2 linked regions of the Coturnix japonica genome follow. The protein of the gene in region 1 interacts with the protein of each later gene in a pairwise test. Links are inferred from orthologs where the notes say so. Each region holds a gene or a part of one and is shown in the gene's direction. Other genes may lie near its edges.

The links.
Region 2: the proteins of ZGPAT (region 1) and CCNDBP1 interact in binary tests that used the Homo sapiens proteins (3 or more experiments, as listed by UniProt). The two-hybrid records come from large-scale screens. The link is inferred for Coturnix japonica from reciprocal best matches to the Homo sapiens genes ZGPAT and CCNDBP1.

What each region holds. Positions count from the first base shown.
Region 1 is NC_029535.1:9,382,702-9,390,043, forward strand, and holds the start of ZGPAT (zinc finger CCCH-type with G patch domain-containing protein), read left to right. Parts: upstream 1-2,520; 5' UTR 2,521-2,615; coding exon 2,616-3,232; intron 3,233-3,959; coding exon 3,960-4,093; intron 4,094-4,624; coding exon 4,625-4,783; intron 4,784-5,648; coding exon 5,649-5,780; intron 5,781-6,628; coding exon 6,629-7,046; intron 7,047-7,342. Other genes in the region: ARFRP1 (ADP-ribosylation factor-related protein 1), read right to left, coding at 49-131, 594-681, 1,037-1,129. UniProt on the Homo sapiens protein: Transcription repressor that specifically binds the 5'-GGAG[GA]A[GA]A-3' consensus sequence. Represses transcription by recruiting the chromatin multiprotein complex NuRD to target promoters.
Region 2 is NC_029535.1:5,928,768-5,935,936, reverse strand, and holds the start of CCNDBP1 (cyclin-D1-binding protein 1), read left to right. Parts: upstream 1-2,368; 5' UTR 2,369-2,476; coding exon 2,477-2,543; intron 2,544-2,639; coding exon 2,640-2,699; intron 2,700-3,195; coding exon 3,196-3,275; intron 3,276-3,933; coding exon 3,934-4,015; intron 4,016-4,436; coding exon 4,437-4,533; intron 4,534-5,553; coding exon 5,554-5,627; intron 5,628-5,930; coding exon 5,931-6,007; intron 6,008-6,458; coding exon 6,459-6,712; intron 6,713-7,169. Other genes in the region: ZNFX1 (NFX1-type zinc finger-containing protein 1), read left to right, coding at 1-1,663. UniProt on the Homo sapiens protein: May negatively regulate cell cycle progression. May act at least in part via inhibition of the cyclin-D1/CDK4 complex, thereby preventing phosphorylation of RB1 and blocking E2F-dependent transcription.

The sequences.
Region 1 (7,342 bases):
AGTTCTGTAATTGTGAAAGAGACCAAAAGAAAAAACTACATCTCCAACCTTGTCCCAAAGAGACTGTAGCTCCTCCTGGCCCCCAAGATCCCAAAACATCAGCCGAGTTTTGCCAACATCAATTGTACCAACTAGAAGGAAAGAAGAAAAAACAATCCAATGAAAACTAAAAAGGGTCTTTAAAGTACAGACACTGAGAGTGAGGGGTTGGAGCAAATCATATACAGTGCTACTTCCAGCAGCACAACAATACATGAGGTAGAAGTGACATCTATATCAGATAGAACCACATCAGTACAAATAATATCAGAATCAGGCCAAAGAATTCCAGCAAAATGTTACTTAACTGCAGAGCGTAGCCCTGAAATGGAACATCTGCTTCGTTAGGTTTTCATGGCTTCAAGGTTACCTTTGCTTATAAGCTAAACAAGTCAATCTTATTCTTACACAAAATAAATGGGGTTGGGAGAGAAGACCTTCATTTGCAGGGACTATTTTGGTCTTGCTTACTCTTAAGTAATTCAAACGCTCCAAAAGAAACTGTTGCCTAACTTTGCAATAATAATAACAACAATCCAGACATATTTACTTACTGTTTAAGCCTACAGTGGTTGTGATTTTTGACAGACTCATCCCTTTGTAGTTCTTGTTAAATCGAGTTTTAGTCTGTTCAAGGAAGGTCTGAAAAGGAATGTGAAATAGTATTCACTCTCATATATTCTACTGCCTTGGGTGACCCTGCCCCAGATCTCCTTTTTCATGACTGCAGAACCTTGTTCCAATAGATACTGCCCTAACCTTGAAACAAAGCACTTTTCTCGCTCCCTATTTCAGTGCAGAAAGAAGGGCTCACAAGGATTACAGGATTATCAAAGCTTATGCTAAATTTAAATACGAGATAAAAGTTGATTCCTTGGGGGCAACATCGCTTAAATAGCTCATGTTACAGACAAAGACTGACCCATCTGGTGGAAGTTTTGTCTCTGAAGATGGGGATGTTTAGAACTGCATGCAATTGGTAACACTCAGCACTTACTGTTTTACCAGCATTGTCCAAACCGAGGATCAAGATGCAGTACTCATCCCTCTGGAACATATACTTATAGAGCCCAGACAGCAGAGTATACATCCTGCTCCTGCAACAGATGCCAGGAAATCATTAACAAACAGATTATCTCCAGAATTCTTCCACTCCATGATCTAAACTTCTCCCAACATCAGATTAATAAGTGACATTACTCGTTTATCAGTAACTCTTAAGCCAACCCTAGGACAAATCACAGACACAAAAGGAAGAGTGCAAACAGCTCAAGATCCAATGTTCAAAACATGATCTTCCAAGTAGCTTAACCTGTGTTTCAGCACACAATGCACAGCATCCATTATGAACTCACTTCTCAACTCAAAGTTTGTTCTCTCTTGGACTTAAGAGCAAGCTAAAGTCTGCTTGAAAGTAACTTAGAGAACATATAAGACTCGTAGAAAAGAAGCCAGTGGTGTGCAGATATAGAGGAGTGTTCTGAGCAGGAATGTGCAGGTTGGTGCCCCCTCACTTTGTTTATGACAGTATTATGGGATCTTCAACAGCTGAACCGAGCTCACAGCCAGATCACAGGATCACAGAATGAGCCGGGTTGGAAGGGACCTCAAGGATCATGTAGTTCCAACCCCCCTGCCTGGCAGGGCCACCAAACATACACCTTTACTAGATCAGGTTGCCCAGGAGACCCCATAGATCCCCATAGAGACCAGAGAGACCCCATAGATCCCCATAGAGACCCCATAGATCCCCATAGAGACCCCATAGAGACCCCATAGATCAGGTTGCCCATGGCCCCGTCCAACCTGGCCTTGAACACCTCCAAGGACGGGGCATCCACAACCTCCCTGGGCGGCCTGTTCCAGGGCCTGACCACTCTCCTAGTGAAGAACTTCCCCCTAACATCCAACCTAAATCTTCCCTCTTTTAACTTCAAACCACGTACCCAGGCGGTGTGTGTAGGAACCCTCACCTATCCCAAACCCTCCTCTCTCCAACAGCAGTGCTGCTGCAGCACCCGCTATACAAGCAGTTGGTCACAACACAACGCCCCTTAGACCCCCCCTGCCCCACAGCCCGCAGCCCTCCCCGCCGTCCCCACCCCTCAGAGCCCGGCTGAGCTCTCAGATCCCTCCACAGTCCCTCCGTACCCCGCAGGCCCCGGCCCGGCCGCACAGCGCACACCGCAGCCCCTCACCCGGTACCGGGAGCTCCTCCCGTCACCCAGCGCCGCCTCGCTCCCCCACCACACCAGCCGCCGGCGCCGTCCCTCGCGAGGCACTCTGGGAAGTGTAGTTCTCACACCGCCTCTATGGCGGGGAGGTGGGGTTATTTTAAACTACAACTCCCAGAATGCTCAGCGGCGCCGGATGCGTGGGGCGGGCCCGACTGCGCAAGCGCACTACGGAGAGATTGGTCGCTGAAGTGGCGTTGCGCGACAGCTGGAAAAGCCGGAAGTGGCTGCTCAGAAGGGCGGAAGTGGGGGGGGCGTAATGGCGGCCGTGCTGTGGGGGTGCGGGAGCTGAGCGGGGAGGTTCGGATTGAGGCCTAAACCGGGGCCTGGCTTCTATTCGCAATGGATGAGGAGAGCCTGGAAGCCGCCATCCAGGCCTACAACGCCCAGCTGCAGCAGGTTGAGCTGGCTCTGGGGGCGGGCCAGGACCCCTCGCAGCGATCGGATCTGATTCAGTTACAAGAAGATTTAAAGCAGCTGATAGAACTGACCGAGTCCAGCCTGGTGGCTGTGAAGAAGAGCAAGTTGTTGGCTGCGTTGGATACAAGCGCCTCCTGTGTAAATCAGCGTGAAAATCCCGATAGCTGTGCCCAGGATGAGGAATATGCTGCCTTCAAGGAAGCCATTGCTGAGCTGGGGACTGATGGTGAGCCCTCAGCTGATAACAGCGAGAGATCTGCGACGGGAGACGAAGAAAGCAAGGAGAGTGAATTGAAATGCAGCGAGGAAGAGTCTGATAGAGAGGAGGAGGAGGAGGAATTGAGTGGGATGAAGGTTAAAGCGCCGTATTACAGCTCGTGGGGGACGCTGGAGTATCATAATGCCATGATTGTGGGGACGGAGTACTTGGAAGATGGCAGTGCAGGTGTCAGAGTGCTGTATCTCTACCCCACTCACAAGTCCTTGAAGCCGTGCCCGTTCTTCTTGGATGACAAATGCAGATTTAAAGAGAACTGTCGGTAAAGAAAAATATGGAGGGGGAGGGGGCTCGTATCCTCGCTGCTGATAAAGGCCGTGTGATTCAAAGGCTGGAACATCTGAGTGTTCCACGCTGGCTGTTGTAACCAATGGGATTTTGCAGTGTTATTAAAATCCATTATGTATGGTAACAGGTGGTATCAAAGAGCTGGACAGTTCAGGTAATGCAGATATGAAGTGGAAATCCCTGTGGGCAAGTTGCAGAGATTTTACCTGATCATTCCAATAGCTACTTTAGTCACAGGCTTATGAGTTAAAACAAAAACACCCAGGGCTGTCTGTTGATGGTACCTTTGTTCCAGCTGCGGGGTCTCCATCTTTGGAGAGCTTCAAATCTAACCCAGATGAGGCCTTAAGCAGCCTGATCAGGCTTTGAAGTTGGCTTTGCTTTGAGCAGGAGGCTGAGATCTCTGTGTCTGTGTGCAGTCCTCATTATCTCAAAAGATCTGTGATTTTTCAGAGATCTCCCTATCAGGGAAAGCTTCATTCTTGGGAGTGGGATTATTTCTTCTATTACACAGCATAAATTATATGAATATGGTGAAAAACGAATGACTTCTTTAATTGAAATGATGCATGATAAACCTTCTGATGCAGATTCATCACTGCTGACAATTTGTTTGAGTTTCCTGTCAGGAAGGAAGGGGTTTATATTTCAAGCCCTTTCTAGTGAGGTAGATCTGACTCCTTTTCTGTCTTCCCTGGCAGGTTTTCACATGGCCAGGTGGTCTCTGTGGAGGAGCTTCAGCCTTTTCAGGAGCCCAATCTGAGTACCCTGGAGGTGGGCTCAGCCTGCCTGGCCAAACACAGTGATGGGATATGGTATGCTGCCAAAATAACTGGTGAGTGGTGTTTGTGGGTGTTGTGCCAGAGCTGTGTAGAGATTGAGCACCCATGCTGAAGGAATTACAAAGTATGACCGTTTTGGTTAATGATAGCAAACACTTGAGGATGTAGCTGTGGCCTTGAACTAAAAATCTGGAGGTAGTTGAGAACGTGTTCTGAGTTGTGTCAGGCTTGGGAAGGGAATAGGATAGGAAATATACATGCATATACAATTGCATATTAGAGTAGAACTGCAGTAATCTGGGAGCTGTTGATAGAGGCTCCCCTCTGTTCTGAGAAGTTTTTTTCTTTGGCACTTGTTGGGTCAGAGGGAGTAAGTCAAACTTCTTTTTAGTTCCATTTGTTGACAGCCCATATTCCTCTATTTTTATAAGTAAATCTCTTAAGCCTTCAGCTGTTTTAACACGTGTTCTTCAGGCCTTCCTCCTCTCCCGCATCATTCCCTGAAGCCAACTTTGAGGAAGCTCTCTGCAGTGTTTGTATTGAGAGTTTACTTGAACTCTTGTTTCTTGCTTTTCCTTCTGTAGATATTGACAGTGGTTACTACACGGTGAAGTTTGATTCCCTGCTGCTAAAGGAAGCTGTTGTAGAAGGAGATAGTATAATTCCCCCACTACGAAGCGAAGATGGTGCCTCATCTGCTGAATCTGATGAAGACAGTGTTGATGATTCTGGTTATGCTAAAGGTGAGAGGGTGGTGGGGGTGTGAGAGAAGTGCCTTGTGATCTGTGTCTGCCTTCTGTCACCAGTATGAGTCTGGTGAAGCTCAAATGTTTCTGTAGCAGCAGGTAGAGGGCGCAATGTTTTATAATGGAGTTCCAGTTCTTAGTCTGTTTTTCAAGTGGGTGTGTGAGCTGAGCAAGTAAAACAGGAGACTTCTAATCTCTCCGGAGCCTACACAGAGCTGTATAACACAACAGGAGTAAGAGATCCCAGGCACAGGTATTCAAACCTCCCAGTGTCTTGATGAGTAACAGCTGTGCCTGGCTTTTTACTATGAAGAGGTGACACCAACAGAACCAGGTTCTCTGAGCATACACAGATAGCACTCTGTCTGTGCCCCTGTTTTGTCACAGGGACAAAGCTGTGTCCTATTGCTCAGTAAATTCAGCCTAATGGAGATTATTGAGTGCTAATAACACATCATTAGCATAGTAGCCTAGAGAATCCTCATGCTACTGACATGCACTGGAGGCACTAATTAAGCACATTATGTGCCACAGTGCCAAACTTTGCTGGGATGTCATATGTCAATCTGACCATTCCAGAAGAAAGGAAAGAAAAGAAACATAGAAACTTCTAGGCGATTCTGCTTGGAACTGTGAGATGGTATGTGCGTTAATTCAAGTGAGAGCTCTCAAATAACCCTCTAAGTGGTGTTTGTAAAAGGTGACAGCATAGCAGGAGCAAGTAAGGCTGGAGGAGCTGCTGAACAATTCTGTGGTGGGAGCAGTACATTGTATTACATCAAGAAGGGTTTTCATGCTCTTGAAGGTTTTGCAAATCAGCTTTGTGTCTGTGTGTCACCGGTTTGTCTTTTCTGTGTTACAGTGATAGATTCTGGGGTTCCAGAGAATGGAGAATGGGTTCCTGCATGCAGTTCCTCTTTCGGTGGCTGGGAAGCCCACACTCGTGGCATTGGCTCCAAACTGCTCGTTCAGATGGGATATGAGTTTGGAAAAGGTAAGGAAAGAGGGTTATCATGGTGGTGTGAGAGCCTGCCTGCATTGCAGTCTCAGTCTTGTGATGCATCCTAAGGCTAGGTAAGAAGACCAAGATTTTGGACGAGGCAAAAACTTTGCTGAAGGGCCTGTTAGATAAGGCTTGAGGTATGTGATGAATCACCCCTGGGTGGAAATGTTGGTAGGCAAGAAGAGAACTATTTAATCGAAGTACAGCCGCATGTGTGCACCAGCTCTTGTATGGTAACAGCAAAAGTTTGGAGGCATTTAAAACCATGGTCAGGTTAATGATTAAAGCTGTGAGAACTGTTGAATGAGCTGTTCAAAGGCTTTAGGTAGGTAGAAAGGAACTGATTTATGAAGCTTGTGATGTCTGTATTAAAGCATCTCCTGGCTCTAGACGTGGACTTCAAAGCCTGCTAAACTAGCTTCTTACTACACAAATTGGATGGAGCCTTGGGGGCTTTGGGAGGCCAGTTTGCTACTTGATTTATCTCGGATTCTCCCAGAGGAACCAAACCAGTTTTAAGAAGAACCTTCCTTGAGAAGCCAAGGATGTGAAACTGAACCTTGTCTTACAGAAACTGACCTGGTTATTGGCCTTGGGCTTTTTATCACTTATATTCTGCTTGAGGAAGGCTCCTGTTGTCGATTTACATAGATGAGCTGCAGCTTTTGGCTGTTTCCCTTGATTTGGATGGTAGTTACGACATTTTGCACGTCCAAAGCCTGCTTGCTTGTTCTAAGCTTGTCACTGTCAGTGTGAGTTTGTGGTGGGATCTGACTTGGAGAGGGGATGTCCTTCCTCTTGGTAATGGCTTGGTGACTCTTATGGCTTTTCCCTCTCAGGGCTTGGGAAGAATTCTGATGGCCGAGTGGAGCCGGTGCAGGCGGTGGTACTTCCTCGAGGGAAGTCCCTTGACCAGTGTGCTGAGGTGCTTCAGAGAAAGAAACAGGGGAGGTTGGACCCTGGCAATTCAAAGAAATCCCGAGCAAAGGGAAATAACACTGGGAGGTCCCCTGCAGGCAGCCGCAAGCCACCCCGCAATGTGTTTGACTTTCTGAATGAGAAACTGAGAGGGAAGAACACAGGAGAGAAGGTTGGAGGTATGACACTGCCGGAAAGGAAAAGCAAAGAGATCTACCATGCCAGCAAGAGCACCAAGAAGGCCCTGAGTGTCCGCCTCTTCCAGACAATGGAAAAGATTGAACAAACACAGAAGGATATAAGAGGAATCCAGCAGGCCCTGGCACGCAATATTGGGCGGTACGAAAAACTTCTCTTTTGGGCTGTGGGATAAACTGAGGATTCTTGGTGCACTTGGGAAGGTGTGGGCTTGAAATTAGGTGTGGGAGGAAGGAAGGAAACTATTGTGCATGACCTGGGGAGAAGTAGAGGGAGAGAGCCTTTAACGTGTGCTTCAGCCCAGCTTGGACACTGGCAGGTGTGTCTGAGGTCCTTTGGGTGGAATTCAGGCTGTGTTAAAGAGAGGAGCTCTCTCAGGAGAAGTCCCATAGTCCTTTCCTTCCCATACCCATCTCTGAAGTGCTGCTGCTGAGCAG
Region 2 (7,169 bases), about 3.5 Mb from region 1:
GCCATGCTCTTGTCCAGAAAGTAAGTTTATTTGCCAAGAACCTTGCCAGAAAAAATTAAGCTGTGGGCATACATGCAACAAAAGCTGTGGGCAGGAATGTAGTACTCGGTGTCCTGAACTGGTTACAGTCTCTCTGCAATGTGGCCACAGCCAGAAAGTTCGATGTTGGATGACTGATGAGATGAAATATCATAAACCTATTGAATGTATGGCTAAGTGCACTGTCAAACTGGAGTGTGGCCATGGATGCTCAGGTTCCTGTCATTCCTGCTTTGGAGGAAGATTTCATGAGCAATGTAAGAGCCCATGCAAGCGCTTCTTAATTTGCTCCCACAAGTGTCAGCAGCCTTGTACTTCAGAATGCCCTCCCTGTCAGCTTGACTGTCAGAACCGCTGTGTCCACAGCAGATGTAAAAAGAAATGTGGAGAGCGCTGTTCTCCATGCGCAGAGCCATGTGAGTGGCGATGCCAGCACTATCAGTGCACCAAACTTTGCCATGAACCATGCAATAGGCCTCGATGCAATGTACCATGTACCAAGCTGCTGCGCTGTGGTCATCCTTGTATTGGATTCTGTGGAGAGCCCTGCCCAAAAAAGTGCCTTGTTTGTGACCGTGAGGAGGTTACCCAGATCTTTTTTGGCTTTGAGGATGATGAGGATGCACGATTTGTACAGCTTGAAGATTGTGGCCATGTCTTTGAGTCTCAGGGCCTTGATCGTTATATGGATGAAGATGATGAAGCCATCAAGCTGAAGGTGTGCCCTACCTGTCAGACACCGGTCAGAAAGAGTTTGAGATATGGCACTATGGTGAAAAAGCATCTGGCTGAGATAGAGAAGGTGAAAGAGAAAATCCAAGGCCCAGCATGGAAAATTGTGTCAAGCAGACAAAGACTAGAGGCTGCGCTCGCAAGTAAGAGTGTTCTGAGGAAGAGCCTACTCGCTAAGTACCTCGTGTTGGAGGATAAGCTGAATTCCTCTGATCTTTCCATAAGGAGCACTGCATTAATTGAGAATCTGATTAACTTCTATGAACGTATAGCTGACCTAACCAGTTCTCTGGGCAAAATTGATTCAAAAGAGCAAAAAGGGCTGAAAAAGCGTCTAGACGAAATCCAGGAGTGGCTGGATAAGCCACGCCTCGGTTTTACACAGCAGGAGCTCATGGATCTGCAGGCTGAGATCCAGAGATTGACCTACCTACAGGACCTGTTGTCAAGGTGTAAAGCCGTAAGTGGGAAGATCACTGTGACCGTTGCAGCAAAGATTGCCAAGGTCCGTGAGATCTTGGAAGGGACAAAAAGGTTTACAGAGAAGGAAGAGGCTGCAGTGAAAGCTGAGCTGAAGCTTCTCAAGGCTGCCCTGCCCCTGTCGGGATTGGGGATCACTGAGGCTGAGAGAGTGCAGATTGTCAGCGCTATGGGCCACCCGCGTGGCCACTGGTTCAAATGCAAAAATGGGCATGTCTATGTGATAGGGGACTGTGGGGGGGCGATGGAGAGGAGCACGTGCCCTGAATGCCACGAGGTCATCGGGGGTATGAACCACACTCTGGACAGCACGAACAGCCTCGCTTCGGAGATGGACGGAGCGACCCACGCGGCCTGGTCCGAAACAGCCAACAACCTGCTCAACTTCCAGGATCTCCAGCGCCTGCTGTAGCTGCTCCAACCCTGCCTCTCTGCCTGAGGGTGCAGCGCTCATTCCTTGGCTGTTCACTGCTGCCTCTGTAATCACAGAACCACAGAATGACCCGGGTTGGAAGGGACCTCAAGGATCATGTAGTTCCAACCCCCCTGCCTGGCAGGACCACCAAAGATACACCTTTACTAGATCAGGTTGCCCATGGCCCCGTCCAACCTGGCCTTGAACACCTCCAAGGACGGGGCATCCACAACCTCCCTGTGCAGCCTGTTCCAGGGCCTAACCACTAGTAAAGAACTTTCCCCTAACATCCAACCTAAATCTTCCCTCTTTTAACTTCAAACCATTTCCCCGTGTCCTGCTATTGTCAGCCCTTTCCAAGAGTTGACTCCCCTCCTGGCAGTAAGTTCCCTTCAGGTACTGAAAGGCTGCAATGAGGTCACCCCGCAACCTTCTCCAGGCTGAACAAACCCAACTCCCTCAGCCTGTCCTCATAGGGGAGGTGCTCCAGCCCCCTGATCATCTTCCTGTCCCTCCTCTGGACCCTTTCCAAAATCTCCATGTCTTTTTTTGTACTGAGGTCTCCACACCTGGACACAGTATGGATATAATCAATAAAACGCATATACATTGTACCCAACACCGCCCTTCCTTGCCGGGGTAGCGGGCGGGACTGGGAGGGTTTATCTAACGGGGCGGAGCCGCCTGTTTTCTGCCGTCCTCCGGAAGGGGATGTGGCGTACAGCAGCCGACGGGCTGCCGTGCTGTTAGTTGTTGAGCCGGGCCGCAGCTGCCGTCCAGCCGAGCCGGAGCGCGGGGTGCTCCCGCAGCATGGAGACCCGGGAGCTGCTGCAGGAGCTGTGCGGCTCAATGCGCGCCGTGCTGGCACGGGTTAGAGGTGGGAGCCGGGGCCGGGTGGGGACGGAGGCGGACGTTAGGCCGGAGTTCTGGTCCGGGCTTTCCGCAGACTGAGGCCTTTTGTCTGCATTTACAGAGGGAGAACCGGGTGAAGGCCGCGAGCCGTTCGAGCCTCCGCGCTTCTGGGATGCGCTAGGTACGGGCTGGGGAGCGGGTTGGCACCGAGGGGACCGCCGGGTGGGGCGGAGGTTGGACCGGCCCACAGCAGGGCTGGGCGGGTCCCAGGGCAGGCTGGGTCCATAGCGGGGCTGTGAGCTGCAGGGGATATCTCTGGCACTCCCCCTCAGCTCTAGTTCTGCTGCTGTTACATAGCACTATGAAGCGGTTTTTACAACGTTTTCAAAGCCTTATGGATCTTTCTACTTCCTGCCTTGGAGCAGGAGATGAATGTGATTATGGGTAGCAGTTCCAGCTAAGTAAAAAGCTGGCAGTGAACACATACCTGATGCGTGTTTGTGCATCAAAGGCACCATGGAAACTTTCTTTTGCAGTCTAATTTGGCATATATAGCTTTTTCATGCTGAGAAGGAAGAAATAGTAGTGTCAGGGAAGACACTGCTAGTCGACTTACTCTGTTCTAGTTTTACCTGACAGAGTTTCTAATTTCCTTTTTCCTGCTATATCCTCTCTAGGTCAGGCATTCAAGGCAACATCCCAGGAAGCTACAAAGCTTAGTCTGGCGTTCTCGAGACCTCCACTGCCTTCTGCAGAGGTTAGTAAAAATCTCCCACAGAGCAGGAAATTACTGTCTGTGTGACAAGTTTGAGGTATCTCTCAGTTCACTTGACTAATGCAAAGTTATCAAGTTGAGCATAAAAAAGGGACTTTATATGAGCTGTATTTTTATTTATTTTAAATGAATATTAATCAAATTCAAGAATTGCCTTGGAAACTAATTTATGTAGGTTAGGAGATGTCTTCTTAGATCTTTTTTGTTAAGCTTCTACGACTGATTGCTGATAGAGGTGAGATACTGGGCAGTGTAGATCTTTTCTCTTAACAATGAATGATGTTATGTCTTCTGTTAATTAAGAGAATATTAACGCTGTATGCGCCTTAATTTGAGAATAATTAAACTATTTTTTCCTTTCTTTACATCCCTTGAACCAAGGTGTGGTGGTCATACACCGTATATCAACTCTTGACACATGCAGTGTGCATGCAGCTCTAGCAAATTATTCTCTTCTGTGCTTGTTGGCATCACAGAAACATACTGCCTCTTCTTGTGCTGTGTTTGTTTCTCCATTATTGTGATGCTATTCCTTTTTCTTACAAAGTAACATAGATTTAAACGATTTCTTTTGAGGCTTTCTAAATGTAGTGTAGCCCTGTGATATTCCTAGTTAATCCTTCTGCCTACCTATTTTCAGAATTGTCGGAAGCTGAGTGAAGATGTCCAAAATGCTATTCTTGCAGTTGCCACAGTGTACTACTGGCTCCCCAAGGGCCAAGGTGAGAGAGTGATGGAGGACAGAGTCAGTTCCTTCATCACTATGTGAAGAAACCCGATATTTCACAGCATGTTAAATTTGGTCTGTATGGGAAAACAAGTTAATATGAACAAAGTCTTGTCAGCTGTTCTATAGACTTGCAATGTGATTATGAGTGAACTTGACAATTTGCTCTTGGAGATTTCCATCTGTGAACAAATGATAATATAGGAAGTGGTATAGTTTACCAAGCATTCATGTTTGTAAAGAGCTGAAATCTCTGTTTAAAGTCTTGTTAGAACTTTAGAATTTAGGCAATATAAATTGCTTCTGTGACTTTATACTGTGTGTCTGTGTGTGTGACTTTATACTGTGTGCCTGTCTGTGTATTCATCTATATCAGTTTCTTCCTTTTGGCAACATACTTGCTGTTTCTCAACCAGGTACTACACTTCGGAAGATGGTACGAGATGCTACCACTGAAGTATTGGAAGGAATGATCCAGCTCACAGAAACAATTCTCATTTCTCCATTGGGAAGGTAGTACTTTTCCAGCAAGAAGAAAAAGTTCCAAGTACACTCACTAAGGAGCAGCAAGTGTAGACTGCACTCATAAGGGAAGTGGGAAGGCAGGAACCGAGCATTGTTATTAGGCAAGCAAAGGCAGCAGACTCATTGGCAAGGGATTCTGATTGAACAGAACGGTGCTGGTGTTGACATTTGTCAAGCCCATAGCAACAATGTCAAACTGGAAAGCTAGGCCAACAAAGTAACAATTGGCTTTGGAGAGAGTAATTGGCATCACACACCATCCAATGATTGTCCAGCCAAGACCATTGCAATTAATTGGGTCTGAGGTCAAGCCAAGAAATCAGTGGTCTGCATTCAGATCAGAATCAAGGAGAGAATCAAGACCAGGTAGAGATATGGCTGCAACACAGCTGTGATGTAGCACAAGCAGAACCTAGTGAGAGACTCTCAGTGGAAAAGTCTGTCCTATGGTAAGGAAGGGCTGGGTCTCACTTGTAGCATTCTTCAACTGCATTTGCTTTGGTAGAGAATAGATTTTTCATCCTGTCTGTGGCAAGGAAATATGCTGGAAGTAGGATTTCCATGACAGTGCTTGATACTGTTTATACTGTTTGGCAATTCTTGCTTGTGGAGTGAATGGTGACGGTGATTGTGTGACTCTCTGTGGCTAGTTAGCGGACAACAGTCCTTCCAGGGAAATATGCAGTCTCTGTATTTACTGATTAATTCCATTGCCTCTAAGCAAAGATCAGCTGTCTCTTCTGATTTGGGTAAATACTCAAAGTTAAATAATATTTAAGCACCTTTAAAGGTTTTTGTAAGAAACTCCTGCATCTTGTTCCAACTAGTTACTAAACTCAGTAGGATTTATTAAAGCATCCTGTGCTTTGCACAGTTGTGAAATACTGGTGACAAGATAGTTTGCCAGTATTTTTTCAGCTGAGCCTCTTATAGTTTGCACAAAAATAAAACTGCCTAGCAGAGTGGTGTGGTGTTACCCTAACTTTGAGGGCCTCTGTTTTGTTTCAGCTCATCTCAGGAGCAGCTTATATCAACTGGTGGTGTGTGGGAGGCATGTGAGCAAGTGTCCAGCCTGCCACGAGGTGAGTACTATGTATGCAGACCAATGGAACTAGAATGTGTGATCTTGAAATACTGTTAACTCTTGAGAGGGGCATTTTAGGTAGTACACTGTAGGCTTACTCATTCTTCTGAACTTTAGTATTCTCTGAAGTATGGAAGCCTGCTCTGATAATTTGTAGAGCAGTACAGTATGGTTCTGAGCTTTGCAAAAAAATAGGATCCTATGATCTCAAGATCTAATGGTTGCAAACACAGATGAATGTTGGTGCAAGCTGATTTGAATCACTGCAGTTCTACAGTTCTCTTCACTTTTCCTTTTGCAGATAACCAGGCAGCAGTTGTGTCATCTCTGTCTGCATTTCTAGGTGTGGTCAAGGATGCTGTGGAAGAGATGGAAAATGTAAGGAAACCCCTAAGTCACTGGGGAACCTGCAGTGATTTCTCTGAAAGAACACAAGCATTGTTAAATATGCAGGCTTTGATTTAGGTTGGTTCTAGTATGACCAATATTATTATCTTATGCCTGTCTTACTAAGGTTTTTAAACCTGGGTCTGGTTTACCTTACAGAGAGCTTCATGGAAGCTCTGCCATGTTTGTCGTTTTAGGTTTATGTAAGAATGGGACTGTTTGCCAGGTTCTCACAGTTTGCTGTTTTGAACAGGAGTCAGTGATCAGTTTTTCTTAATCCAGTCTTACTGGAGTGAACAGAGCCTGGCAGCAGAGTTGCTGGTTGAAGAGAGGTTCCTCCATAAATGATTTGTGTGATTTTTAGACCATGTTTTACTTATCCTCCTCGATATTGCTACAGTAGATGTTAGGCTATAGGTTTTCTATACATCTGTGTTCTCAGGCTATAGTGGAAGAACGAGACCCCTACAGTGATATCATAGAAGATGAGGAGCTTGGCTTTCGGGGTAACAGAGATACCTATTGGTCAGAAGCTGACCGGAAGCTACTTGGCTCCTGCATGGGATTAATGAAGGCTTCTAAAGCTTGCCTGAAGAAGGTCTTGAATGCAGTGAAGACTTATGGAAAAGCTGACTCTCCAGATCAGATTGCTCAGCTGGATGACCTTGCAGACATTGCCAATGAGATCAGTCCAAGGTAAGCCATGTCCTGAACTGTGTGTATGGTTTTAGGCTGATGTAAGAATGGGACTATCTTCCAGGTTCTTGCAGATTGCTCTATTGAATCAGAGTCATTGATTAGCTTTTCTTACTGGAATTAAGAGAATCTGGCAGCTGAAATGCTTCATTGTTCTCCAGAACAGTTCCTGTTTTACTTGAGGCCTGGAAAATGAAATGGTAAAATCTTACTGATACTTAAGGTGTGGCCAAGTGGTGGAAACAAATAGAAAGACTGTTATATCATAGGCTGTTGAGTTTTGCATGTTAGCAAAGGAACGTGCTGCTGCTGCTTAGAGTGGAGTTGTGGCGATGACTAGAAGTAAGGTGGGAGTTGCACACAGATGCCTGAGAAGGTAATGTATGTAAAGTATCCCATGGGTATAACCAACACTGTCTCCTTGTCGTGCCATACCATACATGACTTGCATTGAGGG